Lytechinus pictus: one gene and its partners. The protein of the gene in region 1 interacts with the protein of each later gene in a pairwise test. Links are inferred from orthologs where the notes say so. Each region holds a gene or a part of one and is shown in the gene's direction. Other genes may lie near its edges.

Region 1 (10,555 bases):
TCGATTTGAATAAAAAGAGAAAAATATCAGAAGCGTAACTATAGCACAGAAAATTTCATCAAATCCTATTCATAATTGAATAAGTGCTTGAAATTTCCAGTTTTCAGGCCACAATATTGATAGATTTCGCGCTCTCATTATAGGCCTATTTTTATTAGATTGATAAATAAGATTGTCCTTTTCAGAATGGAATATCGACAAGTTTCATCTCGCGCTTAGGAAGAAATATAGGAAGATAGTCATCATTTTTATACATGTATAGTATGATGACAAAATGTCCCGGTCCTATATGTAAAAAACTCAAATACTTAAATATATCAGCTCCTTATAAAGTGCGATCCATATCCACCTCACATTTTTCCTACAAAGTGCTTAAAGCATACAACTTGAAACGACCCCTTTTCAGGTCAGAATATCAAATATTTAAACTCGCGCTTCGCGCTCGCTTCATAGATTTTCATGATAACGAAATGTATAATGCCCAGATTCTAGGTCTAAATGGGAAACACGCGCGTTCATGTTTATTCAGATACGCAGCTTGTTCTCTATTCAAAATCATTATCTAGTTTCAGACCAGAATATCAAAAAAATTCTGCTAGCGCTTTGCGTTACCATATTTAATGTAAAAAGATCTCGAATCACTCTTCCTTTTCATGATTTACAAAACATGAATGTGTCCCGTTTTTAGGCCTAAATCTCGATTTTTTTTTTCCGTTCGCGCTTTGCACTAGCTCGCATCAGTTGTTTAGTTATATACCTACCCTGTTCACGATTACACAAAAGTGTTTTGGAATTTCCAAGTTAGGTAGAAATGTCAAAAAAAGTTCAGCTAAGGCTTCGCGCCCTCATTATTTGATTGTTGAAATATGTAACATAAGTTCATGGCTAACTACAAGCAGTCCTTAACAGGTACCTTTTCGATCAGTAAAAACATGTATTAAAAATTTCATTATACACATCATGTTCGGGGTTCACAAACATTGCCTAGAATGTCCGGATTTGAAGACAAAATACATTGAATTTCAAAAATATTTAGCTCGCGCTTATCGCTCGCACTGTTGGAATAATATAAGGATTATGAGGTTATTATACATGTATATTTATGTTGAATTATGAGAATAAAGCTATAAGAAGTGACTATTACGACTACCCCTTCAAAAAAAATCAATATCGAGCGGCCGATCAGGGAAATTATGGATGATAAAGATTTCTGCCCCCCCCCCCCCTATTGGCGAAGGCTGGATCCGCCCCTGTCATATATATTTTTTTTAAACATGTTTTTATTAAGGATTTCATTCAAATGAATTACATAAACTCCAGATAAATACAAACAAAATACAAATCTTCAGTTTATATCAACAAGGATATGCAAAAAAAAAACATATACCAAAAACTGAAGCAAATAAGGACGGAATGAAATTCCTTAAAATGATACTTTTACATCTATACAAAAAAAAAGAAGCTTACTTAACTGAGCCCCCAACCCACTATGTATTTTTATAATAATTAATATTAAATGACTAAATGATTTGCAGGAAAACAGAAATCAACCTACATGTATTATCATTGCATCCCATTTTAAATCAAGCTTCAACATAACTTTACATAATTATACGCACATACACACACCCACCTTAACACCCATACACACATGCACATACCACGCATACGTAAACAAACATAATATATACAAATCTGCATAATGAACGTTTAACATTTTGGCGCAATAGGATACAGAAAGAAAAAAAAACCTGCAAATCATATTGATACAAGAGAAGGGGAAATTGAAAAGAACTAGTAAAAAGAAAAAAAAAACATCAACATTCACACCAGGATTCACACTCGCACCACACTAGACACATCCCACCTGTTCACATTCAAATCCCTTTTCACCTTCAGTTCATCCCATTTCTGCAAATGTAAACTTAACTTGCCAGTTGCCTGACTTCGTTGCCAGGCGTCTTTCTTCTTCTATACAACCCGTAATATATCTGTGTATTTTAATGAATGAAGGTACCCGGCCTTCAGCTCTGGAATTAAAAATTGCACATTTAATAAAAAGAATAACAGAATTGACACATTCAATTCTACAAGAATTTCCAGGTAATCCTAAGAATATTTCCCTCCAATTCAAAGTTCTTAATTCAGCTAAACAAAAATGATCAATACAAAATTGCCACAGAAGTTAAACTTTTATGCAATCCATGAGTATATGGGTTACGATTCAGTTTTTTGTACAACAAAACGAGCAATAATTATCTCCCACGAAACCAAATCTCATCAATGTATATAATGCTCCATGTAAAAGCATAAACTGAAATTCCCTTTGTTTTCTTGTAAGAGTTGTACTCCTGATATATCCAAATAGTTTACAATATTTTTTTTTCAATATGTTTTTATTAAGGATTTCATTCAAATGAATTACATAAACTGCAGATAAATACAAAAAAAAATACAAATCTTCATTTCATATCAACAAGGATATGCAAAAAAGTACATATATATTTACCAAGAACTGCGAAGCAAATAAGGACGGAATGAAACTCCTTAAAATTATACTTTTATATCTGAAAAAAATAACTTAACTGAGTCCCCAACCCTCTATGTATTTCAATAATAATTAATGTTAAATGGCTATATAAATGATTTGCAGGAAAACAGAAATCAACCTAAATGTATTATCATTGCATCCCATTTTAAATCAAGCTTCAACATAACTTTACATAATTATACGCACATACACACACCCTCCTTAACACCCATATACACACATGCACATACCACGCATACGTAAACAAACATAATATATACAAATCTGCATAATGAACGTTTAACATTTTGGCGCAATAGGATACAGAAAGAAAAAAAACCCTGCAAATCATATTGATACAAGAGAAGGGGAAATTGAAAAGAACTAGTAAAAAGAAAAAAAAAACATCAACATTCACACCAGGATTCACACTCGCACCACACTAGACACATCCCACCTGTTCACATTCAAATCCCTTTTCACCTTCAGTTCATCCCATTTCTGCAAATGTAAACTTAACTTGCCAGTTGCCTGACTTCGTTGCCAGGCGTCTTTCTTCTTCTATACAACCCGTTATATATTTGTGTATTTTAATAAATGACGGTACCCGGCCTTCAGCTCTGGAATAAAAAATTGCATATTTAATAAAAAGAATAACAGAATTGACACATTTAATTCTACAAGAATTTCCAGGTAATCCTAAGAATATTTCCCTCCAATTCAAAGTTCTTAATACATACACACACACCCTCACACACACACACACACACACACACACATATATATATATATATATATATATGTATGTGTGTATATGTATACATACAATAAGATGAGGTTCAACTAAAAAAGATGACGCAAGAAACCATCCTTATAGCTTCAGCTTTCGTATCAAGACTTCGTCAGAAGCGTTCCGAAAAATACAAGGGGATACAACCTCCAAGTTCGGCTTACAAGTATAACATAGGTGTCGATTTCTTGTGATGATTGGGGGACGATTGGTGTCTGATTGAGGCTATGCAAGGGATCGAAGCGACCGATCGGGGAGGGTGTGGAGGGGGGGGGGTTCGCCCTCCGACGGTTGGGACTTAATATTTTTAAGAAATGACATGCGATATTGTATTTTAGAGCAACTACTGGATAGTGCACTCTAATTGACAGGGCTATCCATTACGGCCACCAGGATTTAAAATTATTACAGATTGATTTTCAAATCCAAATCCATTAACATTTAAATCTTTAAGGGTAGATTTAAAAACCTAACGTCGACCGGTCACTATTCATAGCCGTACATTTTTACAAATCCTTGTAATTTAGAGAGTAGGTCAGATCTTTGAGTTGGCATAACTTGCATTGACCATTGCTTTAATCGCAATAAACCCTGCCATTTTGATCTCACTACTATAGTGAGCAAACGTAAGGGAAAGATTATACACTGATGAAATTATATTATCAACCTGTACCATCTGCTAAATATATAAGAACATATACTTGTTAAAACAATTTTGTTTTTTTATGCACCATCGAAATGAGAGAGAGTCTAATACATATGCATTTATTCATGGCTCATGAAATTTCTCTATATAGGCAAGTGCCTTATCATGACATACAGATGAGTGCGTTAACTGTTTTCAAAACAGACTTGTCAACTCCAGAAAAAGGATTAACTAATATTTGGGAACGATCCGTTTTTCGTTTTTTTGTATGTCTGTGTTGTCATTTTTTATTGATTTTATGTATTTCAATGAATCTATATCGATTTTTTTTTCTGGAGATGTACGACATCCATTGCTTATAATCACAATTTAATGCACATCAATGAATTACAAAGTTGAATAAATTCCATATTCTCATCAGACAGATGAATGAAATAATAAAGGGATGGTCCGGGATGAAGATATTTACATCTAAACAAATATAGTAAAATTTACAGAGCAAATAAATGCTGAAAATTTCGTAATAATCGGATAGCAAATAACGAAGTTATTGAATTTTAAAGTTTCTCAATATTTTGTGAAAACAGTTCATATACATCGTGATGAATATTCATTAGGTAGGCTGATGATGTCACATCTCCACTTTCCTTTTTCTTAATGTTATTAGATGAAATCAAAAATGTTTCACTTTTTCATACATGTGTAAATGATGTTTCTCATTATAAATGAAGTTGCGGCAAAATAACTAATGCACTCAATCAGTTGTCAATCCAATTTTTTTAGTTCTTGGTAGAAAATTTTTGAATAAACCTAATTTCATATGATAAAATCCCGGAGATAAGGGAGCGGATTACCATAAAATAGAAAGGAACAAGGGGATATTACATCATCAGCCCACCTAATGAATATTCATAAAGTCATGCCTGGAATGTTTCACCGGAATAATGCAAATCTTAAAAATTCAATAACTTTGTTATTTGTTATCAGATTTTTATCAAATTTTCAGCAATTTACTCTGTGAATGTTACTCTCTTTATTGAGATATTAATGTTTCCAGCCTGGACCATTCCTTTAAATAAACATATATGACACTAAACCCAAAATTTTTGTTGGGGTCATAAATATTTCCCCCTCCTCTGGCTTGCCATAATGGTAATACGTCACTGCATTCACAGACGTATGATTCATACATGTCCTTTTTTAAGTCCGCAGCATCCGAAGCTGACGAAGACATTCTGGGCCTTCAGAAAATCCATTTAATCCTACCAAAATGATTATCTACAGGGACATACTTACAAGTGAATATACTACCTTTTATATTAATTGTGTAGCGAAGTGATTGAAATGTTTTGATAAGCTTTTGAAGAATATGAGAATTGAAGATATTTTTGTGTCCCACTGCTGCACTGACACTGCAGTCTCCACTTTCCTACCGCACTACCGCACTGAGTGATAGACATATTGTAAGAATGTAGGCCTAAGTTGTAACTTTAGTTAGGCCATAGCAGGTCTACGAGCTACGTTACTCGTTAGTAGTACTAGTAGTAGACAGGAATAACCGTCGTTTCTGGGGATTTATTCAACAATTTCTGACATTTTAGTTTACTGTAATCCCCATTCACCGACGGTAGTGTGTTACGTGAGTGCGAGCCTGCATGTGTAATCACATCACCCATTCGGAGTAGCCAGGCGGCTTCTACAAGTTCTAGTTCTAGTACTTCTACTATTTTTCTAGAGAGTAAAAATCATTTAGCCTACTAAAAAGTCTAAATGGTAAATGGACTTGGGGGACCTGCATGTCATGCTGCAGTCGGAGGTCACATGATAATGTCAAAGGTCATTTTCAGGTCAACGTTAATGCTAACCCAGAGAGCTCCCACCCGCGCAGCGGGCGGGAGCCCAGAAGCTCACAGTGTATTCTACCATTGCCACCGAACAAGGGTGATTTATGGTCTAAATATTTCTCCAAATGAATTGTGAAAACAAAAAGTGTACAATTACCACGATTATATGGATGAAGGTCTAGCGAGTGGCAGATTCCTGACATCTGAGCACAGTCTGGAACCTCAAAAAAACCAAAAGTTCTCTCCTTCTACCCAGTCTCGATCGGCCGTTTTGTTACGATTTTTAACAAAAATGGCCGATCGAGACGGGGTAGAAGCAGAGAACTTTTCGTTTTTTTGAGGTTCCAGACTGTGCTCAGATGTCAGGAATCTGCCACTCGCTAGACCTTCATCCATATAATCGTGGTAATTGTACACTTTTTGTTTTCACAATTCATTTGGAGAAATATTTAGACCATAAATCACCCTTGTCCGGTGGCAATGGTAGAATACACTGTGAGCTTCTGGGCTCCCGCCCGCTGCGCGGACGGGAGCTCTCTGGGTTACGTTAATGCAAGACTCTTAGTCTTATGACAAGTGTTATTCCATCCCAGTCATTTCACAATGAAGTTTTGAATTTGATACAATTCTGTTGCGTGCCCTCGCAAATCACAATCAGACAATATTTCTGGTTATTTTCATAAGTGGGCGAGACACAAAATCGCTTTTGCCTTGTTTTCTTTATATCACTCTTTGTCATTTTCTTTTTCCTCTTTCTTTCTTTCTTTCTTTAGTTTAGTTTTTTTCAGTGATTCCCTTTTATATCTTGTGCCATGGACATACATCATACATGTATACAAAAGTACATGAAAATATATGATGGAGGAAATTAATAAAATGGCATATTGACACTAATTTCAGTCATGGCAGGCAAATACAAGGTATAGCCTTAGGTACACAGTCCAGTTCATGTTTGAAAGAGAGGAAAAAAGCAATGGTAGGCCTAGGCCTATATAAAACTGCGCTTCTATCTTTTGGAGCGGTAAAACGTTATGAAAGAGTTTTCCGGGCAAGTGAAATATATTTTCGGGCAATTATTTTTCAACTTTTTTAGGAATTCACTTGCCCGACTGGGCAAGTGCTTCAAAAAAAGTTATGTAGCACCCTGCCATCTAATGAATATTCATGACAATGTGCATATAACTGTTTTGACAAAATATTGATAAACTTTAAAATCAATAACTTTGTTATTTGTTATCTGATTTTGATGAAATCTTCAGCATTTTGCTCTGTGAATTTTACTGTATTTATTTAGATATAAATATTTTCAGCCCGGACCATCGCTTTAATCGCATAATGTAGGCAAGAGTCAGCCAGAGCTGCTCCACTTATTACTGCTATTTTCAGATTTCGTTATATCAAGCTTTGGTACATCTGTTTTCAATGCTATTTTCCCATTAAACGGTATAGTTGTATTTTTCTCATTTTTTTCCATTTCAGATGATGAGCTTTTCTCCGACAATTTCAAAATGGAACTAGTGGGCCCGAACAAGAATATAATTAGGATCAAAGTAAAGGTAAAAAACCAAGTTTGGGGTGGGCCCCCTGGACATTGCGATAAATCTGCGACACGACAGACATGATGTTTTTCTTTCAAGTCTCACCCAACTTCTGAGACCAAGTTTGTGATGCCCCAGTATGCTGTACATTCCAAAATTACGCAACATTGATATATCACTATCAGGCACAAACATTTGATTTCACAAGGATTAAATTTTCCTTTTTAAAGAATTTTCTTGATGCTGTTTTAGCTTCATACATGTAGGTCGGATAAGCCCTCGAAATTCAGGAACACAGGTTTTAAAAAGCCAGGGAAATCGATGGCCCCAGAAACGTGGTTGAGACCTGAAAATTTGAAAAGTAGCCCGCGAAACAAAAGCATCTCAATCCTTGTTGAATGATGCTGTGTATGTTCCTTGGGAATACCACATGTGTGTCAATGAGGATGATGGGGACAAATGTCATCTCGGGGTCAAAAGGTCAAGTGATTTCAGGTCATGTCCATCCTTTTTTTGAAGTTTCATGTAACTTGTTCTCATTTTATTTCTCCATCAACTTTGATCACATTTGGTTCAAATTATAATTGGGTATACATGTATGTACCACCGGTTTGTTGCTCAGGATGATGGGGTCAAAGGTCAATTTTTGTCTCGCCTGCAAACAGATTGAGACTAAAGGTGCCGCGCCGCTTTTTTAACATCAAATCTTAACCGAAGATTAAGTTTTTGAAATGACAGCATAACTACCTAGTTCATGAAACTTGGACTTAAGGTTAATCAAATGTTACTGAACATCCTGCTTGAGTTTTAGGTCTTATGACCAAGGTCAAAGGTCATTTAGGGTCAATGAACTTGGACCATTTAGGGGGGGTCCACCTGAAATTATGGGATGGACACGGGTAAAAAAATTGGACAAGCAAGCAACAACAAAAAAGGTTATCAACGGAAATTTCAGGGGGGTCTGTCCCCTCACCTCAAATTTAGGGGGGCAGGAGACCCCCCCCCCCCCCCGCTTCCGCCGCCTATGTTGCTTACTCATGCTCTTTATTCCTCCTCCACAGTCCACCCTTCTTCCCTCTACGTGTACCTCCCCCTTCCCTCTACTGCCACATTTCTTAAGTATACAGTGTATATTGTACAAATTTTATTTACATGTATACAGAGAGTGACAGAAACCACATCAGCTAACATTGACATTGGAGCTAACCCATCTGCAGAGGAACAGGCTGAAGCATTGGAAGACAGTAGCGTAACTAATTTCGATGTTTGCACCAACCATCAATTAGTGGAGGTGCCCGGATATACTTTAAAGGAATTCCAGGGTGTGTTCAGGAAGTATGTAAAGAGGTAAGTAGAATTGGGCTTGTGACAATCTGTATGGCATTCACTTATCAGATTGTGGAACTATCCATGTGTGTACACGCAAGAATGTGATGCGTCGGGTCAACCTCAGAGAAAACTTGCTTGACGAGAATTGGGGGAATGGGTGAAATGCCGCAAAGCTCCAAACTTGTTGGAAATTCTCATTTTACATTAGTAAAAAATGTTTGGCCTTTCAAGTATATTCTGTAAAAAGCAGTATGAGATGATAACGGTAAAAATTTTGAAAAAGCAATTTTTCTGTGAGTTTTTTTTTAGATGATTTGAACTTTTCCTGATACTCCGCTAGTTCAGCCTTTATTGATTGGCTATTCATAGTCGGGGCTAGCTCGCTTGCTTGATCGATAAATTAAGGATAGATCTTTTACTTTCAATATTCTGAAAAGCGTGTCTTTTAACAAAAGTTCATAAAAAGGAATGCAAACATTGGTCTTTGGGTAAAAACATAGTAAAAACAAGTCTTATGACAATTCTGTTGCGTGCCCTCGCAAATCACAATATTTCTGGTTATTTTCATAAGTGGGCGAGACACAAAATTGCTTTTGCCTTGTTTTCCAGTTTGTCATAACAGTTGGCACAGAGAAGCAATATTAGAAGGTGAAGCGAAGATGCCTATCATTTTTGGTGGGGGTCTTAGGGTTAGGTTTACAAAATATATCCAGATTACTCTATAATTGTATTCCCCAACAGGTGATACTGGACAATACTTTAGGTTCTGCAGAGTCACGCTGCTACAACATATTATTGTCATCAAATTTGGTACCCACGGGCAAATTTGGCAGGGTCATTGTCGCCATGACAGTTGTATTTATTTGTCAAATTTCTGTGTGAACTCTATATATCGCAATGAATCTTTTCTACCACGCTATCCGCCGGTAAAAAAAAAGAAGAAATTGGCGAAAAAGTAGGAAAATCAATAAAATTTGGGTCGGTATCAACATTTTTTTGGGGGGTGTAGGTCACACATGAATAAAATTTTTGTAGGATTGAGAGGGTTCTATCGGGACACGCCAGACAAACGTGTTTTCTTTAGGGGTGCCTTAACGTAATTTTTCATCCTATATCATTCTATTTCCTCCATTTCGGGCGAGGAAACTTATAGTTCATTATTGGTTTTATCATTTGAAGTGATTATGTTTCCGTCAACTTTTCAATGCAAAAGTTTTCACGGGAGAGAAAAGGAGAATAAGATGAAGGGCGTCTAAAACCTAACCTATTATAAATTCCTTCCGTAAAATGACATGAATTAAAAAAATTGTGATTTTGTTTAGCCGATTCACCCCTGTCCCACAGCTCAACCCCTGCACCATAAAAAAAACATTGCTGTCCCTGTATAACAAATCTTTTTCCAAATATTTTTGTTTGGATGCTAACCATGGTAAGCGCCCCAAATGAGATTTTGTTTGTTTGGTCGTAACGGGGAAAAAACTGGCCAGGGCGGTCTTTATTCTTATCTTTTCTACCACGTTCCTCGCAATTAAAAACAGAAAATCGGAGAGAGGAGACAAACAAGCAATATTAGACAGTACATTTCCATCTGGGGGGGGGGGGGGGGCTAGGTCAAACAAGAATAATAATAAGAAGTCATCAGTTTGACAAGGGTCTGAGAACCGAGTTGTGACACACAAAGGTGGGATTGTTTTAAAGTAATCTAACCAAAAAAATAAAGTCATGTTATTCGTTTAAGTAGATATGGAATTTTAGCAAAAGCGCACTTGTCTATTCCCCGTTTTATCTCTGTCTCTCATTCTCTCTCGTTCTCCGTGACATCTGAACATTTTTTTTTCTATAATTTCCCTAAATGATTCTTCTTTTATCCTTATATGC
Region 2 (11,393 bases), on another chromosome or scaffold:
TATATCAATATTTGAAAATTTGTGACAATTTATATTGTGGAAATTCAACGAAGTATTTACATCCGTCCAAAATTTAGAAACAATAGGGCATAAACAGAATAAGTGTATCAAAGTTTGTGGTTCAGTTAAAATGGTGAATTCTTCACACCTACATGTATCTTAAATAAACAATCATTAATTAGTTGATATACAACAGTGAATAAACTTATACTGGAACATTCTGATTTTTTAATCCAAAGTAACCCAATAGTCAAAAATCTATTTTGCCATTGGATAAAAAAACTTACATGTAGATCTACATTTAGATCATCAGACCATTTTTCACACTGCTTGGTTTCTGATATATCTAAACTTTTTTTTGTATAAGTTTTCAATAGCAGGATTTTTAGTCACCTTCTTAAAACCTAGTGTTTTTTTTTTTTGTGTAGAAAATTTGGAAACTTTTCAATGTTTCATTATTTTGAGACTGGATTTGCTTTTTAAACGGGAATATCATAAATGTTGACTTTTTAATAAAAATGCAAAAATTACGTTGTTTATTTTTATTTTATTTTTTTATCATGTTTCATTATTTGGAGACTGGATTTGCTTTTGAAAGGGGAATATCTTAAATGTTGATTTTTTTATTATAATGCAAGAACTATGTTGCTTATTTTTTATATATTTTTTCCACTCTTGTAAGAATATACATGACAATTCAGAGGAAAGAATATTTCATTTCCAGATGGGTCTAAGTCCTGTATTTATGATTTTATTTCTATTTCATTAATTTTGATTTTTTTTTTTCTTCATTTTATTTCCTTTTCTTTTTTCGTTAGGGGTGCAGGTTGTTTTAAACTGGAAAATGGGGATGGGATTGGTACAAGTTTTTGTGTCACTTTTGTTTCTCTTGTTTTGAGTATTTGTTTGGAGCTTTGATGTCTGTTTTTGTTTGGAGCTTTGATCTGTTTTTTCCTGGTTGTCTTTTGTTTTGTTTTGAAAGAAATAGACCACTCTTTTCCTTTTCTTTTGGCTTCAACTAATAATTTGGTGCCTTTCAAGTCTATTCATGAATGGGGAGATTGGTAAGTTTGGATTGTTAAGATCTTTCCCACAAAATCTTGCTATTTTTTGTTTTGTTTCATAATAGCATGGAAGTATGTGTAAAAAATTGTGTACATTTATGTGCAGTGATTTCACTCTAGAATCTGAATTTATTTATTTTTCTTTAAAAAAGAGAGCTAAAACAGGGCATTTGTAATACAATGTATGTACATGTAAACAAATCTAAGAAATGCATTGAAAACTGAAATCTTCATTTTTATCCTTCTTGATACTTGTAATAAATTGCATACAATGCTACATGTACATACATATTTTACACTTGGCTCATCCCTCCTAAAAAAATTGTAATCAAATGTTCATTGTCTCTAAAATCAAAAGCTACGTAACAAATTGTTGAAACAATAGAATACATAAGGCATTGGTGAAACAATCAAATACATCAGAAAATAGCACATACACAAAGTACAAAAGGAATGATAACTTTCACATATAAAAAAGACCCCCGTACATACATGTATACAATACTAAAGTTGAAAAAGAGCTTGTAATTTATATCAGAAAACAAAGTAATACATTAGAAATTACAAAAAAAAATACTTTAAACAAATTCATTAGGGAAATTATCTACATGATGCTGTTTTGATGCCAACTAAATTATATAAATCATCTATCATGATCACCTTCATTTGGCAAAAAAAAAGAGGCGAGTAATTGTTATTTTGCATAATTAATTAGAATTAATTAGAAGAAATTATTTTACACATATCAAGAAGAAAAATTACAAATTGACATGATTTATCATCAATTGAGCTTTCTTTCACCTTTCCATTGATACCTAAATTACTTCAAAGGGCTAAAAAACAAAGAAGTTAGAGCCTGTTGAAGACTTGGGTTCAAAATGGTCACAAAAATCGGTTCTGTATTCCATTGACTTTTAATACTGCAAGACAATGACCACAAATTTGGATGAGTATGCGTGACTTTAAGGACGTTCCACAGTTATGTTTGTGCGCATTATGATCTGCGCATAGTTTACACTCTGCGCGCTGACGTCACAATGGATGAACATGTGGTTAATAAGCTGCGGGTATGAAATGATTTTTCTCATCTTCTGCACTTTAACTGTAGATCCGATGCGTTATTTTATGAAGCTAAAAACGGAATTATTCCATGGACCATTCAAAAAAAGATTCTCTACAATTTCAAAATACTTTACTCTGCAGTGCTGCCAAGAATCACGAATATTACCCCGAATTTGAATAAATGGTAGAGTGGTTTTGATTTTTTCTTCACATATATACTAAGCATTCGGCGCATTTTTTGTGTTTTAAAAATCACATTTGCTCTAATAAAAATGCTGATACTTTAAAAACAAGCACATGAACCTCTATTTTTTAATGTTTGTACCTCATAGGTATACCTTCCTCTACAACTCTGCAAATTTTGGTGAAAATGACATGGATTTTGAATAAAGTGCAGCATTTATTGTACGTTTGTAGTTTGTTACTGAAATTTTACATTTTTCAGATTGGGATTTTGTTATCTTTTACGCCATGTTTAAGAACTGACAGTGCTGCTAAACTTAAAATTGCAAACAAATAGCAATATAAATAGATTTTCCTTTCTAACGATACAATTATTAACTCTCTTGCGAAATTTGATGATTTTTTCATGTATTTTGACTGAGAAATAGAGGTTTAAACTCATTGTAGTAATCTCGGGCGGTCTAAAAATGCCAAATTCTTTTGAATGCGCAATTCTTAAGAACGTCAATTTGGGTGAACTTTGAAGCTCTATAGCAAAAAATCAAGCACATGGACCTATGTTAATTTTTGCATATTTCGAATATTAAGGTTTTAAAGTATCTATGTGCAAAGTTTGGTGAAAATGTCATGGATTTCACTTTAACTGTGGAACGTCCTTAACTGGAATAACTTTATAATCAGAAAATAATAGTTCTTTGTATCATTTGAAAGGTCTCTTTAAGAGCTTTCAAATGATACCAAATTAATTGATATTTGATGATCTTCATTTTTTTGTCACATTACGTTGCGTAACTTATGTAACATGCCCTATCTTGAAAAAGACATCCTTTTTACTAGACCAAAAGCTTCAGTCTCTGTTATGTTGGTTGTTCCGCTGAACTCCATTGGCCACTCACCAAATACAGAGACCGAAGTTCTAGCTCGATCTGTAAAGGCCGGGACTCAATGGCCATATGTTTATGTATTAAGTTTGGATAAAACAGGGAAGTGAAGTTGCGCGACAGCCGAAGTCACTGTTTTTTCTCCTTTTAAGATTATTTCTCCCCGTTTTGGTGAATATCAGGCCAAAACGGAATAATCTTTATTTTGGTAGTTCTTTTATATATTTTTATGAAATAAAGACAAAAATCGATGAGCCCTGTCGGGGGGATTTTGCATTGTTAACCCCCTAATGGTGGCTGCACAATAGCGAGCCGTCTGTGTACGAGGAGAAATTAAAAAAAATTTAAATGTTAAAAAACTCCCCGAAAGGCGAAACGGACGGCTGCCAGCTGTCTACCTTTTTACGTGTTTTTAGGTCGCGCATGGTGATGATGGTATCCACTCGTCAATGTAAGTGCCCCCCCCCCCCCCCCCGGCTCTAAGTCTAAGCCTTATTAAGTTAGACTTAGAGGCTTTACTAATTTGGACCAAATGTGGATTAAATCTGGATTTAGATTTGGATCTAAAATTAAAATAGATCTAGACTCGGCCTATACAGTATCATGTAATGCCTAATATCATATGCCAATGGCAGTAAATAAATGGCTAAAAATGGGAAGTAGACTTCTAATCTAAGAGTAAGACTAAGTTCTATATCGGACGAACTGATGATAGCCTAGACCAAATGATAGTAGACGAGTTGGCAATTGGACGAATTGGCATTTGATCTTAGTTACATTAGACCAAATGAAAATAAACCCCGAACCCATGGCTTTATTAAAGTTTAAGTTATACCGGTAAACCGTACCCGCACTCATGTACTCACTCCCGCAACGCCAACGGCGCAAGGGCCAGGTATGGCCAGAGACCTGTGGGGACCGCGCCCCCAACTCTGTGGCTGTGACTCTGCTCTGTGGCGGAGGCGGCGACCTAAATCCCACCGTTTCGTATCAATGCCTGACTAAATACCAATTTAACATATAACAAGAAACTCACCTCACCTCAATGAGTAGTATATATTCAACGTCTTGATTAGTCCAGCAAAAGCCTATTGTACATTTGTATGAGGAGACTTTACAGTTCCCGGACTGTTCCCAGTTTTTAAGGCCGGTGGTTTTCACTGAAAGTCTATACCGGCGATAGGCGCCATGCATGCAATACGTGTAATAGTCTATTTAAAAGACCTAAACTACAATTATTGTATTTTCTATTTTGACCTGCATGTGGCTAGGCTATATAGGCTCGGGCGGGGCTCTGGATGTTGTATACATGGAGGGTGGGGGGGGGGGGCGCTGGTTGTGGGGGGGGGGTGCTATTTGGGAAGGGATGGAGTGCATTTCTGACGATTCCAAACTCGCATCAATTTTGCGAATAAGAATTTGGGACCGTTCAAATAGCAAGGTCAGGCTATAGCTACATTTTCAGTATTTTTTTATTCCCTATTTTTGGCCAAAAATTTCCCACATTAGGCTACTATAGTCCCTTTAAAGAGCTATGTATCTATATAGGCCTATACACTTCTTTTAAAGAAGAAGACAAAGAAAAACAGTGAAAGAATGTGATGATGCATTTCTAAAGGTCAATTAAGTCCGCGGCCCGGGTCGATCCACCCAAAAATTTTGAAAAAATTATAAATCAAACAAGCAGCACTGAAAATTTGATCAAAATTAGATGTAAAATAACTATGTCATTTCAAAGTTTGACTTATTTTTCACAAAACAGTTTTATGCACGCCTCACCAATAGAGATTAGATGATGTCCCTCATATAGGCTTTTGTTTTTGTTTAAATGTTTGAAATATACACTTTGACACTTTAAGTACAAACTTGACTGACCATTTTGTTTCTCATGACAATGATCGAGGAGAAAATCAAAATATTACACATTTCATGTAATAAAATCAAAAGCAAAAAAATGATAATAAAAAAGTAATGAGTTTGTGATGTCATCAGTCCCCATACTATCCAGGATGTGAATAACTGTTATATAGAATTAAGCGAAATTTTGAAATGAAAGAAAGAAAGGAAGGAAAGAAGGTCAGATGCATGGAAAGAAAAAAGGGAAAGAAAGGAAGGAAGGATTAAGGAAGGAAGGAAGGAATTAAGGAAGGAAGTAAAGAAGGTCAGAAGGAAAGAAAGAAACCCTTGAGTGCTATGATGAGTGTGGTCCAGGGTTCATAAATGCCGATCCCCGAACTTCTCGAGATCCATCAAAAACAAGTTGATTTTAAAAAAAGAAGAAAAAAAATCGAACAAGTATAACACTGAAAATTTCATCAAATCGGATGTAAAATAAGACAGTTATAACATTCTTAAGTTTCGCTTAGTTTCACAAAATAGGATATGCACATCCTGGTCGTTATGCAAATGAGGGAACTGATGACATCACTCACTAGCTCACCATATTTTTTTTTGCATTTTTTCATATGAAATATGAAAAATTATAATTTATTGTCCTAAATGTGAAAGTTTTACTTTCTTCCTAAACATTTGAAATTACCATTGTTTAACATTTCATGGGATGGTTCATATTGGTCCTTAGTATTGTAAAATCTGTAAAAATCAAAACATTGTCTAGACCTCTAATTCAAACAATAAAAAACAAAAGAAGTATAGTGAGTGAGGATCATCATCGATTCTGTCATTTTCATGTGACTAAATCGTGCGCATAACTATAAATGTAGCAAAACTTAAAAATGTCTCAACTTTTTTTTTACATCCGATTTAGATGAATTTTTTAGCATTATATTGATCAAAATCAACATTTTTCTAAGGTCGACTTGCCCTTTAAAGATCGAGATTCAGCCATTTTCGGGGCTAGTAGCCTAATCGTATATATAATTATACGCAGTGGCGTAAAAATGAAGGGCAAACATAATTATGGCAAATTTGCATGGGAAAATTTCTGAAAAGTCCCGAGAGCTAGCGAAGCAAGCAACTGTACGTATTGGTCTAAAGCTTTTGAAAATGAAATTCTAATCATTAGAGATTTTGACATTATGTTTAGCACCTAATATAGTATTTCATCATTTTCCTTTCTTTGACTTTTAATTTATCTCCATTATTTCCCGTTCCTTTATGACCCCCCGGTCCCTTCTGAGTGCGGAATTTCGGAATGGTTCTTCTCACATTATTGTAGCCCTAATAGGGCCAATCCCTTTCCGTTTCCATATCACCTCTTTAATATTCTTTCTTATCCTTTTCCTTTCCTTTCTTTCCCTTTTCCTTTCTTTTTCCCTTATCCCCTTTTTTGCATTTTCATCACGCGCGGCAAAATCCTCTGAGGGGTGGGGGGCATGATCGATCGATCGATGCACGCGGGGCGCCCATATCATGCACATACACAACAACGAAAAAAGAGAAACTGGAATTAAGAAAGGGAGAAAGTAAGAAAGTAAGTAAGAAAGAAATACATTAAAGTAGAAGGACGAGTGTAAAATCAAGGCAGGGAATGCTGGAACCGGGGCCGGCGGGGCTGCCGGACATCTCTCCGGACAAGTACTGAAAAATTGCCATCGTTATAATTATACTAGCACATAATTGCTAAGTCTGAAAAGTAGTCTAAGAAAACTTTATCGTTTGTGTACGAGAAAATCCTGTTCTGTGTCCCACAAATCCTGCTGCAACAGACCTATTTTATGTAATATAATTCATTTTATGTAATATTATAATTGTATATAACATGTCAAAGATGCCTCCTGATACCAAAGCGCGACAAATTGCTGTTATGGGATTCCGATCAGTCGGTAAGTTAAAGAAAATTAGTTGCTGTTTAATACTGTTGAGTGTTGTTAGTGTGATCTGACTCCGAGTGCTGTGCATCTGAACTAGTGGCATTCGTGCAGGCTGTGCTGTGCAGCGTAGTGTTGTGAACTTTGGTGGTGTTAGCTTGGCCGTGGCTGCATAATTTGGCACCGGTGGCAGGGCTAATGCAGTGTATGTAGGCGGTACAAGTGCAGGGCAGTGTTTCAGGAGTACCTTTACTAAAATAAAACTAATTAAAAGGGAAAGATTGGACATTTCAGCGATTTTTTTAAATGCTCCCAAACGGCCAAACGCCCAATAAAAATTGCTCATGGGGAAGGACGCCCACTATAGCGTTGTCGTTGAGTAAGTAAACCATCGCACATCGGCACGCAGCTGTGTATAAAACATGGGGAAGTGAGATAGGGGATTGAGAGAGGGCTCAAGGCGAAATCAAGGCATATGGGGATGTGCCGCAGGAATGGGTTGCTTATTAATTTTGGTCTGGAAGAAATCCCTAAACATGATGGGGTATGGTTTTATATGCTGGAAAATCCCTAAACACGGCCCCAATGTTTAGATACTGGCCTTAAACTTGGGTCCATGGCCCAATTTTTAGTCTGGCCTTAAACATGGGTCCATATTCTCCAATTTTGGGTGATTTAATTTTAACCTTTTTTTTTGCTTGTCAAATTTCAATAAATCCTTGATAATGGGGCATACAGTATGGGCATAGACAGCTGGCAGCCGTCTGTTTTCGTGGAGTTTTTTAAACATTTTTTCTAATTTCTCCTCGTACACAGACGGCTCGCTATCGTGCAGCCACCATTAGGGGACTTACAAAGCAAAATCCCCCCGTCGGGGCTCTTCAATTTTTGTCTTTAATGAATCAAACTTATGAAAATTAATGCGACCGAAATGCAAATTAATATTCCCTCTTGGCATTAATTGCCAAAAAAACACGGGGAAAATCAAGTTAAAAGGAACAAAAACAGTGACTTACCTCGGCTGTCGCGCAACTTCACTGCCCTGTTTTATCCGAACTTAATACACATAAACATATGGCCATTAGTCCCCTGTACACATCGCGCTAGAACTTCGGTCTCTGTATTTGCTGAGTGAAGCCAACAGAGTTCAGCTGAATAACCAACATAACCAACATAACATAGACCGAAGCTTTTGGTCTAATATGGGCATAGCCTTGAGGACTCTGTGATGATATTTTTTAATATTTTGACATATACTTTTTCATCACGAAGCCTTGAAACCCTCCCCAAAAAGCAGAATATGTAAACATGGATGGATTTCCCTAGGAAATCCATCTTTAAACCTACAGATCACATAAATTTGTTGCATTTTATTTATCTATACAACCTTCATAGCCTAATGCGTATGAAGACCTGGATGAAAAAATGTTAGTATAAATATGAAAAATGAGAGATTTCATACCATATGGTAGTGGATCGTATTACCGAACACTTTTCATGAATTCAATCATATCAAACACATTATTCTCATAAAATTCACCAAACTTTCACCATGAATACACAATTACCTACAAAATATAAATATGTAAAAATTTGGCCGAAATCGTTTTTCCTATTTACGATATTAGCTTCCAATCGGACCCCTCTTCGCATGTGAAATATTTTGGTCACTTGAAAAAGGTATCGTATTACCGAACGTGTGTTTTCTATGGGAAAAGTTGAGAAAACAACAAAGTCACTGATGCGCTATTTTGACCATATTTTATTGTTTTTCGAATATTAAGACTTTGAAATTGTGTTTTTGACAATTTTTCATCATCTTTCTATTCAAGTTCTCTTTGAAAGGATGTTGCAAAATTTTGAGCGTATGGAATTATTTTCTGATGCTCATGATGCGCACGTTCGGTAATACAAGGCCTGTCGGTAATACAATCACTCACTTTACCGATCTCATGTAGATTCCTTGATCCATTTGTAAACACCGCAAATACAATAGGCTTGACCCTTGAACCACTTCGTTATGACGTAGCTTCGATAAGCGACGTTACAAAATGCCGTTTTGAAGAACAATTTATAGATAAAAATTTTCATTTAACAAATAATAAAATTTGAAACTTGATTATAAGTATTTATTATATTATAACAACCTTCAGCTGCACATTCCCATCCAAACTAAATACAAGTAAAATTCCCCACTTTCCCTTTTTCTTTCTGACTGGAAGCCTATGAACTTAACATGCCAGATGGGGCGAATGAGCCCAAGCCCCCCCCCCCCCCTCTGGATTAAAATTTAATTAACACTGTATGGTTACATCTGTTAAAACAGTAAAATGCAGTGTAGACATCTCTACACTTGCTTACATGTATGTACACAAAATATGTCCATTCCCAATAGAGCATGTAGAAACATAGATAACTGTGACAATTGAAAACACAATCTGACAATCATTTGTTTCATGATATTGGATAGGATGAATAAATAAATCCTTAAAGGAGAATGAAAGCTTTGGAACAAGATAGCTTGTGTGAAAACAGAAAAATCAAAGAAACAGATCAACGAAACTTCGAAAGATTTATAAAAATCAGAAAAATGATGAGCATTGGAATATTGTGATCAGTAATGCTATAGAGATCTTCACATTGGCAATGTGACAAAGATGTGTGATGTCACTTGTGAACAACTCTCCCCATTACTTTAGTATATATTTCACTTATAGGTAAACTGCCTCTTTTATCACATCTATCAGTAGATCTTGTGTTCTTTCTATGGGAGGGCATATAATACAGATTTTTAAAGAATCATGGATAAAGAGTTTGTGTCACCATAAGAAAAAGCAAAAAGAGACATTTTTTTTACAGTCCATCAAAGGGAAAGTTGTTCACATGTGACATCACCACTGAACTGAAAATACGTGTCCCTATTCCCAACATACACAAAGCCGTGCGGCAACTAAGAGCATTGGCTTCACGCTCGACTGAGCGCACCGCCATTTTGCTAGGTCAATACTGGCTGGTCGACAAACGCTGCATGTATGCAGATAAGAGAAAGGAACGCAAAGAAAGTGTTCCTTGTGCTGTTTAAAGTTTAAGTTTGCTTTGTTACATCATGAACTATATATTATTGAATACTTTCATAACTGAAAATGTTGATTTAGTCACATTTTTGTATTCATGTACAGACATGAAATCATAAAAAGCTCGACCTTTTTCACGCGCACACTGACAAAGAAAGGACCCACAACAAATTTGCTTTCTGAGTAGGCCTACAATTTGAACAATGAAGGCCTACTAGCTGGTTGCATTTCAAAAAATTATTTTAACGATTAGAAATCATGTCCCTTTTCTCTAGCTTTTTTTAAACCTCCCTTCTCATTCAACTATTCCTCTCATTTTCTCTGATCTTCCTCTTATCTGTCCATCTCTCTTATCCTCCCTTTTCTCCATCCCCTTCTATTTCTTCCATTTCTACTTTCATGCCCCTCTCTCTCTTATTTCTCCCCTTTATCATCTCGATCTCCCTCTTTATTATTTTCCTTTCTCTGTCATTTCTTTCTGATTTTCCTCTTCTTTCTCATCTCTCTCTTACCTTCCCTTTCTCTCTATCCCCCTTATATCTCTCTTTTATTTCCTCTTATATCCCATCTCCCTTATATCGAGCCCTCTTAATTATCTCCCTCTCGTCTCGCCTTTCTCTCCTCACCTCTTTCTCATCCCTCGCCATTTCCCCCTTTTTCTCTTTCTCTTTGATCTTCCTCTTCTTTCCATCTCTTCTCGTTGATCGTCTGTTTCTTTTTTTCTCTCTCCATCTTTTTACCATTTTGCCGTTCTCATTTCAACTTTCTCTATATAAATTTTGAGTAAATATTCCCTTCCCTCCCTCTCATACTGTTCAATCACACATTCAGGGTGAAAAATTGAATAGAAGTTTGAGGACAAGAAGGTTGTTACTTTTAAATGAAGCCTTCAAAGTTGGACCTTCGTGTGCTCAGTCATGAAATATGTACTAAGTACAGTGTATATAAAAATGGGCACAATAGAATTTTAATTCTTATGAAATTTAATTTGGAAGAGCATGGATGTTGCACGACATGTATGCTTACATATATACATCAATACATCTTTACATAAAGGAATGGGTGATGGATAAACAAAACCAAGTCAACTCTAACAAGTTTACTAATACAAATAAGAGCATGCACAAATCAGAAAAGCATAGCAATGGTAAAAAAAATTGGTAATTCCATTTAAAAAGTTGTGGCACTTTAAATTTTGCTTATTTTCACATACCAGTTATATGCATATCCTGGTCAGTATGAAATATTCCTCATGTCAAAAATTGCACAACAAGACCACTACCTCTTGTCAAATATTTTAACCCCTTTTTTTAAAGTACATGAATTACCAGGTCCCAGTACATTGTGCATATAGAAATA
Region 3 (11,314 bases), on another chromosome or scaffold:
CGCGTAGCCAGGGGGGGGGGCGGTGGGGGCGGTCGCCCCCCCCCCAAAACGTCCCCAAAAAAAAAAAAAAAAGAGAAAAAGAGAGGAGAAAAGGAAAAGCGAAGGGAAGAAAGGGAAAAGGGTAGCTTTGTGGGTTTTTTCTTTTTATTTTATTTTTTTCTCAAAAGAGAAACTCCTTCACTCTTGCTCTAAATTTATATTTTTGCTTCCGCGCTGCGCGCGGTTAAATGACAATATTGCAGTTCTCCATTGTTTCCCCCACCCTTTCTCTAACCCTGTTTTTCCACCTCAGCTATATGTGTTTCTTGCCAGTTAAAGTTCAAATGTATACATTAGGGCATGGAATTAGAGTAAGGTTAGGCCGAAATATGAAGTTGTCTTTTTTTTAATTTATCGCGCAACTTCTGGTCGGGTCGGCTCCGGGCGGGTAAAATCTTTATATCAATTTCTGCCGTCACCTCCATATAGGCAAATTCTCCCGCTTTTCATCTCATTACTAAACAACCATAATTTGGGGGCAAACAGGTTCCTAATTTAAAAAGAGGAAGGTATAAATTTCGTGTCGTATTAAATAAAAAAGTACAATATTTTTCCATCAAATTCTATTAAACTTCATGTCATTTCTCTGCACATTCATCTCCTGTTTTCGCCCTCAGATTGAAATTTTGAATGACAATTAAGTTTCTTTATCATTCAAAATGAAGCGCTTCAGGATAAGTCAAAGAAATTAGGCATCCTTTTTTTTATATAATTTCAATAAATCACAGAAGTTTCAACTTTTTGCGCACTATTTTCCTTGTAATGAAGTTCAATAATCTTAAATAATCAATTGAATTAGAGCCGATGTGGTATTAGAGATATCTGCATTTGATGAAACGTCCGCCCTTTAAAATTTCAGAGTTTCATTGCTCTGCGCGGGGAGGAATATCTTCCTCCGGCATATACACTTCTCCTCTGTTTTGCGAATTAAAGATATGCACTGTCGCTATAATTGTTTGTAATCAAATCTGATCTTTCCAAGGGAAGTATTCAATATATCTTAGAGAATACCCTTTTCTCGGAACCCTTTTCTTTGAAAAAAATGATAAAACGCTCTAGCTTCCGCACTTCGCGCGGGGTTATTATTACTTTAATTTCCTCCATTGTATTCCTTTTTTGTGCGTTCACAATCACTTTCGAAAACAAGGTTCAAAATCACAATATAGTCGACTGAATTGGAGCTGATATAGGTACTAGAGACAAGAGAGACGGCTCCTATTTTCATTTTAATTTATGAAACACCAAAAGCTTCGCGCTTCGCGCGGGAGGGGGAAACTCCCCCTCCCTGCACCCACCCCCTAGGGAGCGCGCTTCGCGCGCTCTGTAAGTGTTGGCACGCTTCGCGTGCATTTACCGCCCCCTCCAAAATGAAATCCTGGCTACGCGGTTGGCACGAGAGAGCCTTCAGTACACAAGGCATGAGTAGGCTGCACATTCAGACCCTTAACCCGAGTGAAGGGTTTGCCCAGCAGACTAGATAAGTGCTGCGCTGGCCGGCGTGTGCGAGGATTATTTTGTATGGCTTTGTTTGTTTTCACTAATTATTGGTCCCAAGAAATTTGAAAAGCCAAAAAAAAGGGGGGGGGGATTTCACACAAAAAAACAAAGGTGATATTTGGTTACTTTTTTCTTTTCTTTTTTTCTTCATATTTTCCTAAGTACCTGGGGGTGCTGCCTATATGGAGAATAGTAGGCCTATATACGCAGCACCCCCGCCACTAGCGTACTTACGGGGGGGGGGCAGGGGGGGCACTCTGCCCCCCCTGACGAGTCACAACCCATGCAAAAACGTATCTTTGCCCCACCTGACGAGCTTGAAGACCTTTTTTTTTTTTTTTTTTTTTTTTTTTTTTTTGCTTGTCAATTTTTTCTGGAACGAAATCCTTTATTTGTGATCGAAGACCTTTTTTTTTTTTTTTTTTTTTGCTTGTCAAATTTTTTGGCGGACGGTTTTGCCCCCCCTGTGGAAAATCCTAGGTACGCCACTGACCCCCGCCCAAATAATTTTTGGGGGTGCTCCAGCACCCCCACTTCCCAGGGCCATGATATACCAAGGTATATACGATGAAAATTTATTCATATCGCGGCACATCCATCTCATGTCTTCTTTTGCGCCATTAATGAAACTGATTTCACTCAAATTTCTTTATCATACAAAGGAAGCGCTGAACAATGAGCGAATACACATAATTTTATAGGCCATGTATGTTTCAAAACAAACCACAGAGGTTTCCGTGCTTCGCGGGTATTTGAAAGGGAAGATTCCTCTCCGTGCATCATCTCTTTCCTATTTTGAGCTTTTTTGAATTACTAATATAGAGCAGGTTAAGGTTTAAGAGAAATTTTGACATTTCTGATCTTCAACGGTATTCGCGGGAAGGAATATCTTCTCTCTGCATATTATACCATCGATCTATCCCGTTTTGCTGTCTTTTCAATGTAAATTTTTGTTATCAAATACCACTCAATGAATGCCCTTTTCTGTTCTCATTTTTTTTTAATAAAACGTTTTGACATCCACGCTTCGTGCGGTAAGAGGAATCATTTCCAATTCCCTAAACATTTTCCCCGGGGGGCCACTTCCATTGACGAGTGGATAGTCCACCGGCGTAAATCCACTCTGAGGAGTGGGGGGGATGATTGACTTTTTGACGATTTTTTTTCCGTCGATCTCACGCTTAGGTATAAGCACATGCACACTCTCACTGACCCCCCACATACCCCCTTACACACATTTTAATATTTATTTTGCGAGAGCGAGCGAAGCGAGTGAGCCAAAAAATAACAATTTTTCTAGTTTTTAATCGCATTTTCTAAAATAAATTCTAAAATATGAGCGAGTAAAGCGAGCAAGCCAAAAATAACCACTTTTTTGGTTTTCAATCGCATTTTCAAATATAAATTTTAAAATATGATGGTTGTTTATGACAGATATTCAAAGATTTTACTAACAGATTAATTAAAATATATTTTCTTTCTTAAAAAGTGGGGGGATATTTGTACACGCCATCCCCCCCCCTCTCCAAAGAGTTGGGGGATATATCCCCCCATCCCCCTCCCCCCGGATTTGCGCCACCATGGGGTCTCGAAAAGCACCCTAAACATGTATTTTCCATATTCTAAAAATGCACCCCTTAACAAGTATTGGCGTGTGAAACCCTACCCTTAACAAGTATTTGAAACAAAAGGATACTCTTGCCAAATATTCCCTGATTTTTAAAGCGATATTTTTATTGTTATGTCACGGCCGTCTGTCGTCGGTTACCTTTACCTACATCATTGCATGGGTTTAGTACAGCCCACCTCCCACAGTACATCTCGCGCAAATCGTACTCTTAACACGTAGTGTTGACTCTTGGGGCAAAAAAAGTACATCCCTTATAAAACATTTTAGTCTTAATTTTTTACCCCCTCGCAAATTTGACCCTAAAGGCCTAAATACGTAGCTTTCCTAACGAAAATAGATACCCTTTTTTCACTATTTTAGTGTTTTTGACACCCTTATTACGTTACGTACGTAACATGCCCTATCTTGAAAAAGACATCCTTTTTATGTTTTTTTTTTTTGGTCGCGCATGGTATCCACTCGTCAATGTAAGTGGCCCCCCGGGACATTTCCCAATTTGGGGGCGTTCATATAATTTATTTCGAAAACAATATTTTTTATAACAGCATTAAGCCAATTGAATTCGATTTGATAAGGGTATTAGCAGTGGCATAGTAGCGGGGGAGGGGGCAGGGGGCCACGTGCCCTGGGCGCCACTTTCAGGGGAAAGGGGTTGCAAATAATTAAAGAAAAGGAAGAAATTAATTTAAAAGGCAAAGAAATAAAGGCACACAAAAAGGAATACCAGTGAAGTTGATCAATACCCCCGTTCTATAGTGGAACCGGGGCCAGTCGCGGTTCTAGGAAGGGGCTTTGTGGGGACTGAAGCCCCCCCCCCCCAAAAAAAAAAAAAAAATCACTCAAGCCCCCAAACAATTTTCGACTCCAAATATAGTGTTGGCCCTATAATTTATTTGTATTATGATAATAGAATAATGCAGCTTTTCATCCATGTCACTCACCAAGTGCTCGAAAATTCGAAATTTTCTCGCTAGGTCGCTACACCTTCCCTCGAAAAAGCGCATCGAAATGCAGAATACATTAATGCTCTCTTAATAGTAACAATAATTATTATTTATTTATTGGTTTTCTTTATTTTATACTGCAGGGTAGGCCTGTTCAGTGATGCAAAACTGCTTTCCTGAGGCGCCCTGCAGTTGAACAAATTACTCAAATAATAATAAAAATAAATAAACAACAATAATAATAACATTTAGATCTATATAGCGCTTTTTTTCTGAGGATACAGCCCTTGCTATTATTAACCCGGCTTTAGCTCGAGCTACCATCACTGGCGCTCAGTGCATGCATGGAATTGATCCTGCCGGGTACCCATTCATCTCACCTGGGTCGAGTGCAGCACACTGTGGATAAATTTGCTTAACCTGTGGGGTTTTTTGCCCCCCCCCCCTTCCAACCACCACGAATATAACAATAATAACGCGTAAAATAAGGTCAAATCCACCTCACAAAAATGTTGATTTGGACCAACAGAGAAAAGTCAGACAAGCATAATGCTGAAAATGACTTTAAATAGGATGTAAAATAAGTTATAATATTTCAAAGTTTCGCTTATTTTTCACAAATGGTCAATATGCACTATTTAGTCACATGCAAATGAGAGAATCGATGATGTCCCTCACTCACTATTTCTTTTCTTTCTTTTATTGTTTGAATGTTGCAATATTTCAAATTTTACAGATTTGGCAATTGGATCAACTGCCGCTTGACTGAACCATAAAAATGGTAAACAATATGTTTAGAGAGAAATAAAACGTTATTTCACAGGAAAATGAGGAGAAAATTAGAATATTTCGTTTATAATATATAACAAAAGATAGTGAGTGAGTGAGTGATATCATCAGTTACCTCATTTGCATACCGACCGAGATGTGCATATAACTATTTTTGAATGACATCCGATTTTGATGAAATTTTTGGTGTAATAGTTATAATGGTTGAATTTCCTCTTTTTCTTCAAATGAAAGTGTTTTTTGGGGGTGGACTTGTCCTTTTAACTCTGAATTTGCCTATTATTGTCAAAAGCGCTCTGAATATTGCCATTCTTTTTAGGATATAATGTTTATATTGTTGATGACTCGGTCTGAGGCTAAAGTTAGTCATGTAATTAAACCATTAAGAGTTCAGAAGTGTCGGTCCACATCTCGGATGGGAGGGGGTGGAAATATCAAGTTATCGCCAAATCATAATGAAGAATTTTGCGGTTGAAGCACGCCGAAAAATATTGATTATTTTATTCACCACATTCCTTCGTTATAGGGGCGAGTCAAATTTTCTAAAATGTGAACATAATTATTATAGGCCTATAATAATTTTAGAATGAAAATCTTGGGGTGTCAGCTATCTTGTTTCAAGAGTTTTTAGATCTGTCTTCTTCATCTTTAATCTTTTTGATCAGTATTTGTTTGTTGAGTTGAAATAAACAAAAAACAAAACAGTGCAATTAAGTGAAGATAGATGGGGGGGGGGTAATCTTTATCGCATATTTTAGCCCCCATAATAATAGTTAATACCAGACACGTTTATACGCGCATAGACAATTGAAGATGGAACGCCACCTTGCGTTGAATTTCGATCAGCAATTTGACGTCACTTCTCGCAGACGAAGCCATTTTGGAAAAGCCGACCCATTTCACACATCATAACAAGCGGAATCTATAACTTTTCTTCAAAGATAGGCAGAACCTGCTGTAATAATTGACATTCTATCATGAGTACCTTGACTCAAAGAGGTAGTACTTTAATTCAAAGACACACAGGTGGAGGATCTAAAGGAGCAGAAGGGGGAAAATCAAGTAATGAAGCGGACGAAGATCCGTTTCGTGAAGAAGAAGATGACTGCGAATCAAAAGAAACGAGATTAACATTGATGGAAGAAGTTTTATTATTGGGTCTGAAAGACAGAGAGGTAAAGTATGGAAAACCCAGGCGCTAATGCAGTTTCGCACCGGCCGATTACCAACATACCTCATCACCAATACTTGTTCCCAAATGTCATGACAAGTCTCTCACTCTCAGTCTCAGTAGGATGGGGGGTCGGGTGTCCGGACACTTTATTTTTGAACTAAGCCTTCTGTTTTGTCTTTGGATTACACTAAAAATATGAATTCAATAGTTGTAATCATCTTCCATTTTGTTCTCTATAATATTTCCTTACATTTTGTACTAAAAATTGATGAAACTTCGCTTGTAAATATTTCCAAATGACTTTCTAAAATGGATCGTCCGGACACACAACCTGTCCGGACACACAACAACTGGGTACCGTATACTATAGGGTGTCTGAAGCCACACTGGGTGATTTCAAGTTTGGTGTTCTGTGTTGGTGTTGAGAGCGTAAAAAGGCCGCTGAACCGAGCTCCAACACCGAGCTGGGTTCAGAGGAATGATACCGATTGCGTTATCGATAGCACATGACGTCACGCCTCTGCGCTGCGCTGCTAAATCATCTCAACTTCACGCGAGAAGTCTCGACGACGAAAATGAAATCGGTGAGAAATGCATTAAATTCTCATCGTACAGAATACCAATGTTTTAATTAATTCAAGAATTCGAAAGAGTGAACATTATTCTTCATCAAAATATATACAGCTCAAAAATGATTTGTGCTCATCTTAACTGTAAAAGCTAATTTTACGGGGATGTCTCATCGCGTTCGCCGCCTGTTCACGAGCTTGAGATTGCCAACACCAACACCAACACCGAACTTGAAATCATGATTTTCCCAATCCCTGGGGGTTGGTGTTGGTGAATGGGGAAATTGCACGTAGATCGTCAACATCAGCCGCAGTGCTGGGTTCAGCAGACGATATTCAACACCAGCATTCAACACGAACTGCCGGAAATACGTCATATTTTCCGAGGTCAATCCCAACACCAGCCTGATTTCAAGTACGGTGTTGTGGCTGGTGTTGGTGTTGTCACAACACCAACACCAGATTTCAACACCGTACTTGAAATCACCCACTGAAAAGTGTCAGCATAAAACAGGCTGATTTAGGGGAAAATATGGCACATTTTTTCGGGAAGTTCAGGCTGCTAACGTCCATGCGCAGTGAGTCGCAATCGACTCAAATCTTTGTATTATGAGATGAAAGTATCCACAAATCCTTTCAAATATATGATAAACTTTTCTCCTGAAATTGCTACAGTTTTTAGTAAGAACATCATGAATTACACACTTCCGGAAAGGCGACACAATGATGGGTATATTTTGAGTCGCCGATTCGAAAAATCCAATACATTTACTACACAGGCATATCGCGCATGCGCACACACACGCACCGATCGTACACAAAAGTGCATTGACTCAGCTGCGTTGTTGAAACCTCTCCGTGGGTTGAGATATACGTTGAGTCGCCACCCCCTCTTATTTTGATAACAATTGTCACCCCCACCTTCAAAATGAAATGATTGTGAACATTTTTTTATACTCTTTATTTTGATACCAAATATTGGTAACTTGAGCGGGCAGTTTTGGAAACATCGATTACTTAGTGTGGGCGTCTCAAATCGTCGCCCGAGAAAAATGGCAGCTTAAATTCTCACCGTACGGATCCAAATTTGCAAGTCTGACTTTGACTGCGCTAAACTCCTTTGTGTTTTGCTGGATCTTTTAACCAAACGTTGCAGCATTTCAATGCCACAAGACACTTTTCAACATTGCAAAAGATTTCTAGAACCATGGTAGTCAGGCAGTGACAGGTGAGTGGCGCAACAGTAAAAAAATTGCACATGGCGACTCACTGCGCATGGACGTTAGAGTAGCAAAAATGTGATCTGAATTAATTATTAACTTGTGTTTGGCATGTATGGAAAGAGAAAATTCAGGGGGTTCTTTTGACAGTAAGGACAAGTTTATATGATCATTTTAAATAAGGATTTAGAATTAGAGATAAATTGCAAACCCTTATTTGTGTGTGTGTTGAGATTGCCATTTCCCCATGCGTTTTCTATGGGAAAACTAAATGTCTGTTTTGCACAATTTTTTTCACTTTGTCGCAATTTTTCATTGTGATCTGGTTTCCAAATCTTTATAAAAATCATACCATCAGAAAGAGCATAAAAAATCCTATTGGACTCTTTATGGACAAGTTTTTGGCATTAATGATAAATTTATAACAGCTCTCGGAAGCTAAAAATTTGGAATTGTGTGTGTCCATATCTTAACTACACAGTCTATGGCAGAGAAATGCTGAAAATTTACCTAATTTCATTCTTCTTTTTTGCAGCCAATAATTGGATTTTTTTCAAAAATGTTACATTTCTGTCAGTCTGAAGGTAATTTCTCTTCAAATTCACAAAGAAAATGTGATATTTTCTTGAAATAAGAAAAATAATTTTTTCTCCAGACACCCTACTCTCAGTCACATTTTGAGGTAAATAATATACCATACCCACCTCTTTTCCAAATATCGCGATCGGGAAGTTAGCAACCAAAAGATTCGCCTGCAGCATGCTGGCAGTTTGTTCGCCACATGTTCGTATGATTTGGTTGCTAACTTCAGTCCACATCATCATTACTGTGCACGGCGAATCCAAGCAATCCGCGAAGTGATGTCTGAGGATTCGAACAACGACATCGAGATCAAAGCTGAAATACAGCCGTTCCCGATCGCGATATTTGGAAAAGAGGTGGGTATATTGACCTCGAAATGTGACAGAGTGAGAGACTTGTCATGACATTTGGGAACAAGTATTGCCTATTGGTGATCAGGTATGCTGGTAATCGGCCGGTGCGAAACTGCATTAGCGCCGAATCCCAACTTGATATTGTAAAAAAAAAGAAAAATATTTTGGCCATATTTTGATGAAGTTCAGGACTTCAGGTTCTCTGCGACGTGCACTTGCATAAGTTGCAAATGCCATTAATGATTTGCCAACTTGCGCTTGCACAGCTCAGAGTTGCAGCAGTGGGGAAAAAGAAGGGGGCCCCTTTCTGATGTGGCCTGTCGACGTCGACTGTCTTTCTCAGTTTCTGAGCACCAGAAAAAAATGTATTTAGATCTAAAAATCTAGGCCCTAAGACATAGTACACATGAATTTCTTTTATATTCCATTAAATTTTCAATTAATAATGAGACTGAGCAAGCTCGAGAATGTGCCAAAAATAGGGACATGTTTCAGAAAACCTTAAAATTACATTCCTTTTTACAATTTAAGCATATCTGAAAATGGAAATTCTGTTTCCCCATAGACTTTGTGTACTTGAAAAAGTGACAATTCCGTTTACTTAGAAAATCAACACTGTAAACGCTGTTAGTGTTATTTTCGCGGGATTAATTTTTTGCGCTTGGCGGCTTCAAAACATATTCGCGGGTTCTTGAATACGCGCTGCACATTCCATAATCACAAAGTCACTTCCTTCTTCCCCATCTGTGAATGGTTTTAATTAACATTTCAGCAACAAAATTGTATTTCTGGATCATAATTTTAGCTCTAAAGCGGCGTAATTCAGCATTGTTTTGATCCAATCATGAGCTTTTGTGACATTTACATGTAGGTTTACTGCAACTTTTCTTTGCGGGGCAGACATCAGGGAAGGTAAAACGGAGGCGCTGCTGGCCTGGTATGGACGGCCGAGCACCGGGTAAGGAGCAGGGGGATTATGGCTATTCAAAGTGCATGGGATCAATCAACAAAACTGGGGCCCGTTTCTCAACACCGTTATAAGTCTAACTTCTTGACTAAATCGGAGATAGTGAGCTACTACTTGTCCGCTAACCGTTTCACAAAGCCCTCTTTGCCAAGATCGGGTACAACAACCTCACTAAATATTTATGACACCTCCGAACCTGTCATAACTTCTTTTTAAATGACGTAGTGGCATCACGTGGGTAGAGTAGACTATGACATGCAAAAGTGCCTCGAAATTTGAAAATTATAATCTTACGTAATCTATCACAGAGGTTGAAATTACATCACAAAACAAGGGGGATAATGCATTTAATGATAATTGTAATACAAAGAAACTATAAAAACTGACGGTAAAACGCCACAAAACCGTTCATTTTGAAAAAGTAAAATGATTTAACAGGGTGCTAAATAAAAATGACGTTTTAGAAGCACTTGCCCAGTCGGGCAAGTAATTTTTTTAATAGTTCAAATATACTTGCCCAAAAATTGATTTCACTTGCCCCAAAAAATCATTGAAAAAAAAGTTTTACCTCTTCAAAAGAAAGTATTGCGGTTTTATAAACCATTTACCTTTTTCTCTCTTTTGACCTGATCTACCTTGTTATGCTATCGACCCTAATTTTGGTAATTCTACTGTGAGAATTTTGCTTGCCCACATTGGGCAAGTAGTTTTGGTCTTCCAAACACTTGCCCGACTCTAACTTTACTTGCCCCGGGCAATCGGGCAAGTGCTTATGTAGCACCCTGAATTTAATCGAAAAAGATTTTACCACGTCAGGCCATCCATAACTGGACTCGTATTTGTCGTTTTCAGACCACTATTAACATTTGGATAAATTCTATCTCTAATTTATGCATAGAATTTGTCAAATCATATGTTTCGGTATCAAAGATTTAAAAGTTCATGTTAAACTAGATTTTGATGATGTTTGGAATCATAAAAGTCTGTGTAATTATCATTTTACAAAGAAAACCGATATGGTTTACTTTCGTAAACTATTAAAATTTGATATCCTGGGGGTACCCATCTCAACGTCCACATGCGATTTTTTAGTCATGAAATGAATTATTCATAATTTCATTTTCCCAGCAATTGTATGCCCGTCTTCTTCTGATAAAGTACAGTCCACCGACTGGTGTATGCTCCAGTCTTCATGGTCTAAGTATGTATGATGCATAATTTACCTGTGCTATTATATTGAAAAGATGTATTTCCCAATTCATCACAATATTTGCAATATTGTCGTAATTTTTCATTTTGAAAATGATTGTATTTTGTGACTAAGGCTACGTCTAGCCTGCTCGTTTTAGCGATAGTATCGATATCAAGGTATTCTAGTTAGGAAGCCTTTTGTGAAACAGGTTTAGTAAGATTGGAACTAACTCCGTGGTTGGTGGATAAAGATATGACTAACTTATCCAGGTGTTGAGAAACGGGCCCCTGGGCGATCGACAAGACGTCTTCTTAAAAACTTAACAAGAAGAATGCAGCTATTTTGACCGTCAGATTTA

What was found.
Region 2: the proteins of translationally-controlled tumor protein homolog (region 1) and GTP-binding protein Rheb-like interact in binary tests that used the Drosophila melanogaster proteins (3 or more experiments, as listed by UniProt). The link is inferred for Lytechinus pictus from reciprocal best matches to the Drosophila melanogaster genes Tctp and Rheb.
Region 3: the proteins of translationally-controlled tumor protein homolog (region 1) and Golgi phosphoprotein 3-like interact in binary tests that used the Drosophila melanogaster proteins (3 or more experiments, as listed by UniProt). The link is inferred for Lytechinus pictus from reciprocal best matches to the Drosophila melanogaster genes Tctp and sau.

Annotation. Positions count from the first base shown.
Region 1 is NC_087260.1:9,562,217-9,572,771, reverse strand, and holds the start of translationally-controlled tumor protein homolog, read left to right. Parts: upstream 1-5,123; 5' UTR 5,124-5,236; coding exon 5,237-5,264; intron 5,265-7,289; coding exon 7,290-7,366; intron 7,367-8,510; coding exon 8,511-8,695; intron 8,696-10,555. UniProt on the Drosophila melanogaster protein: Involved in calcium binding and microtubule stabilization.
Region 2 is NC_087247.1:20,765,683-20,777,075, reverse strand, and holds the start of GTP-binding protein Rheb-like, read left to right. Parts: upstream 1-6,595; 5' UTR 6,596-6,911; coding exon 6,912-6,975; intron 6,976-11,393. UniProt on the Drosophila melanogaster protein: Binds GTP and exhibits intrinsic GTPase activity. Activates the protein kinase activity of TORC1, and thereby plays a role in the regulation of apoptosis. Stimulates the phosphorylation of S6K through activation of TORC1 signaling.
Region 3 is NC_087249.1:5,502,106-5,513,419, forward strand, and holds the start of Golgi phosphoprotein 3-like, read left to right. Parts: upstream 1-5,722; 5' UTR 5,723-5,876; coding exon 5,877-6,074; intron 6,075-11,314. UniProt on the Drosophila melanogaster protein: Phosphatidylinositol-4-phosphate-binding protein that links Golgi membranes to the cytoskeleton and may participate in the tensile force required for vesicle budding from the Golgi.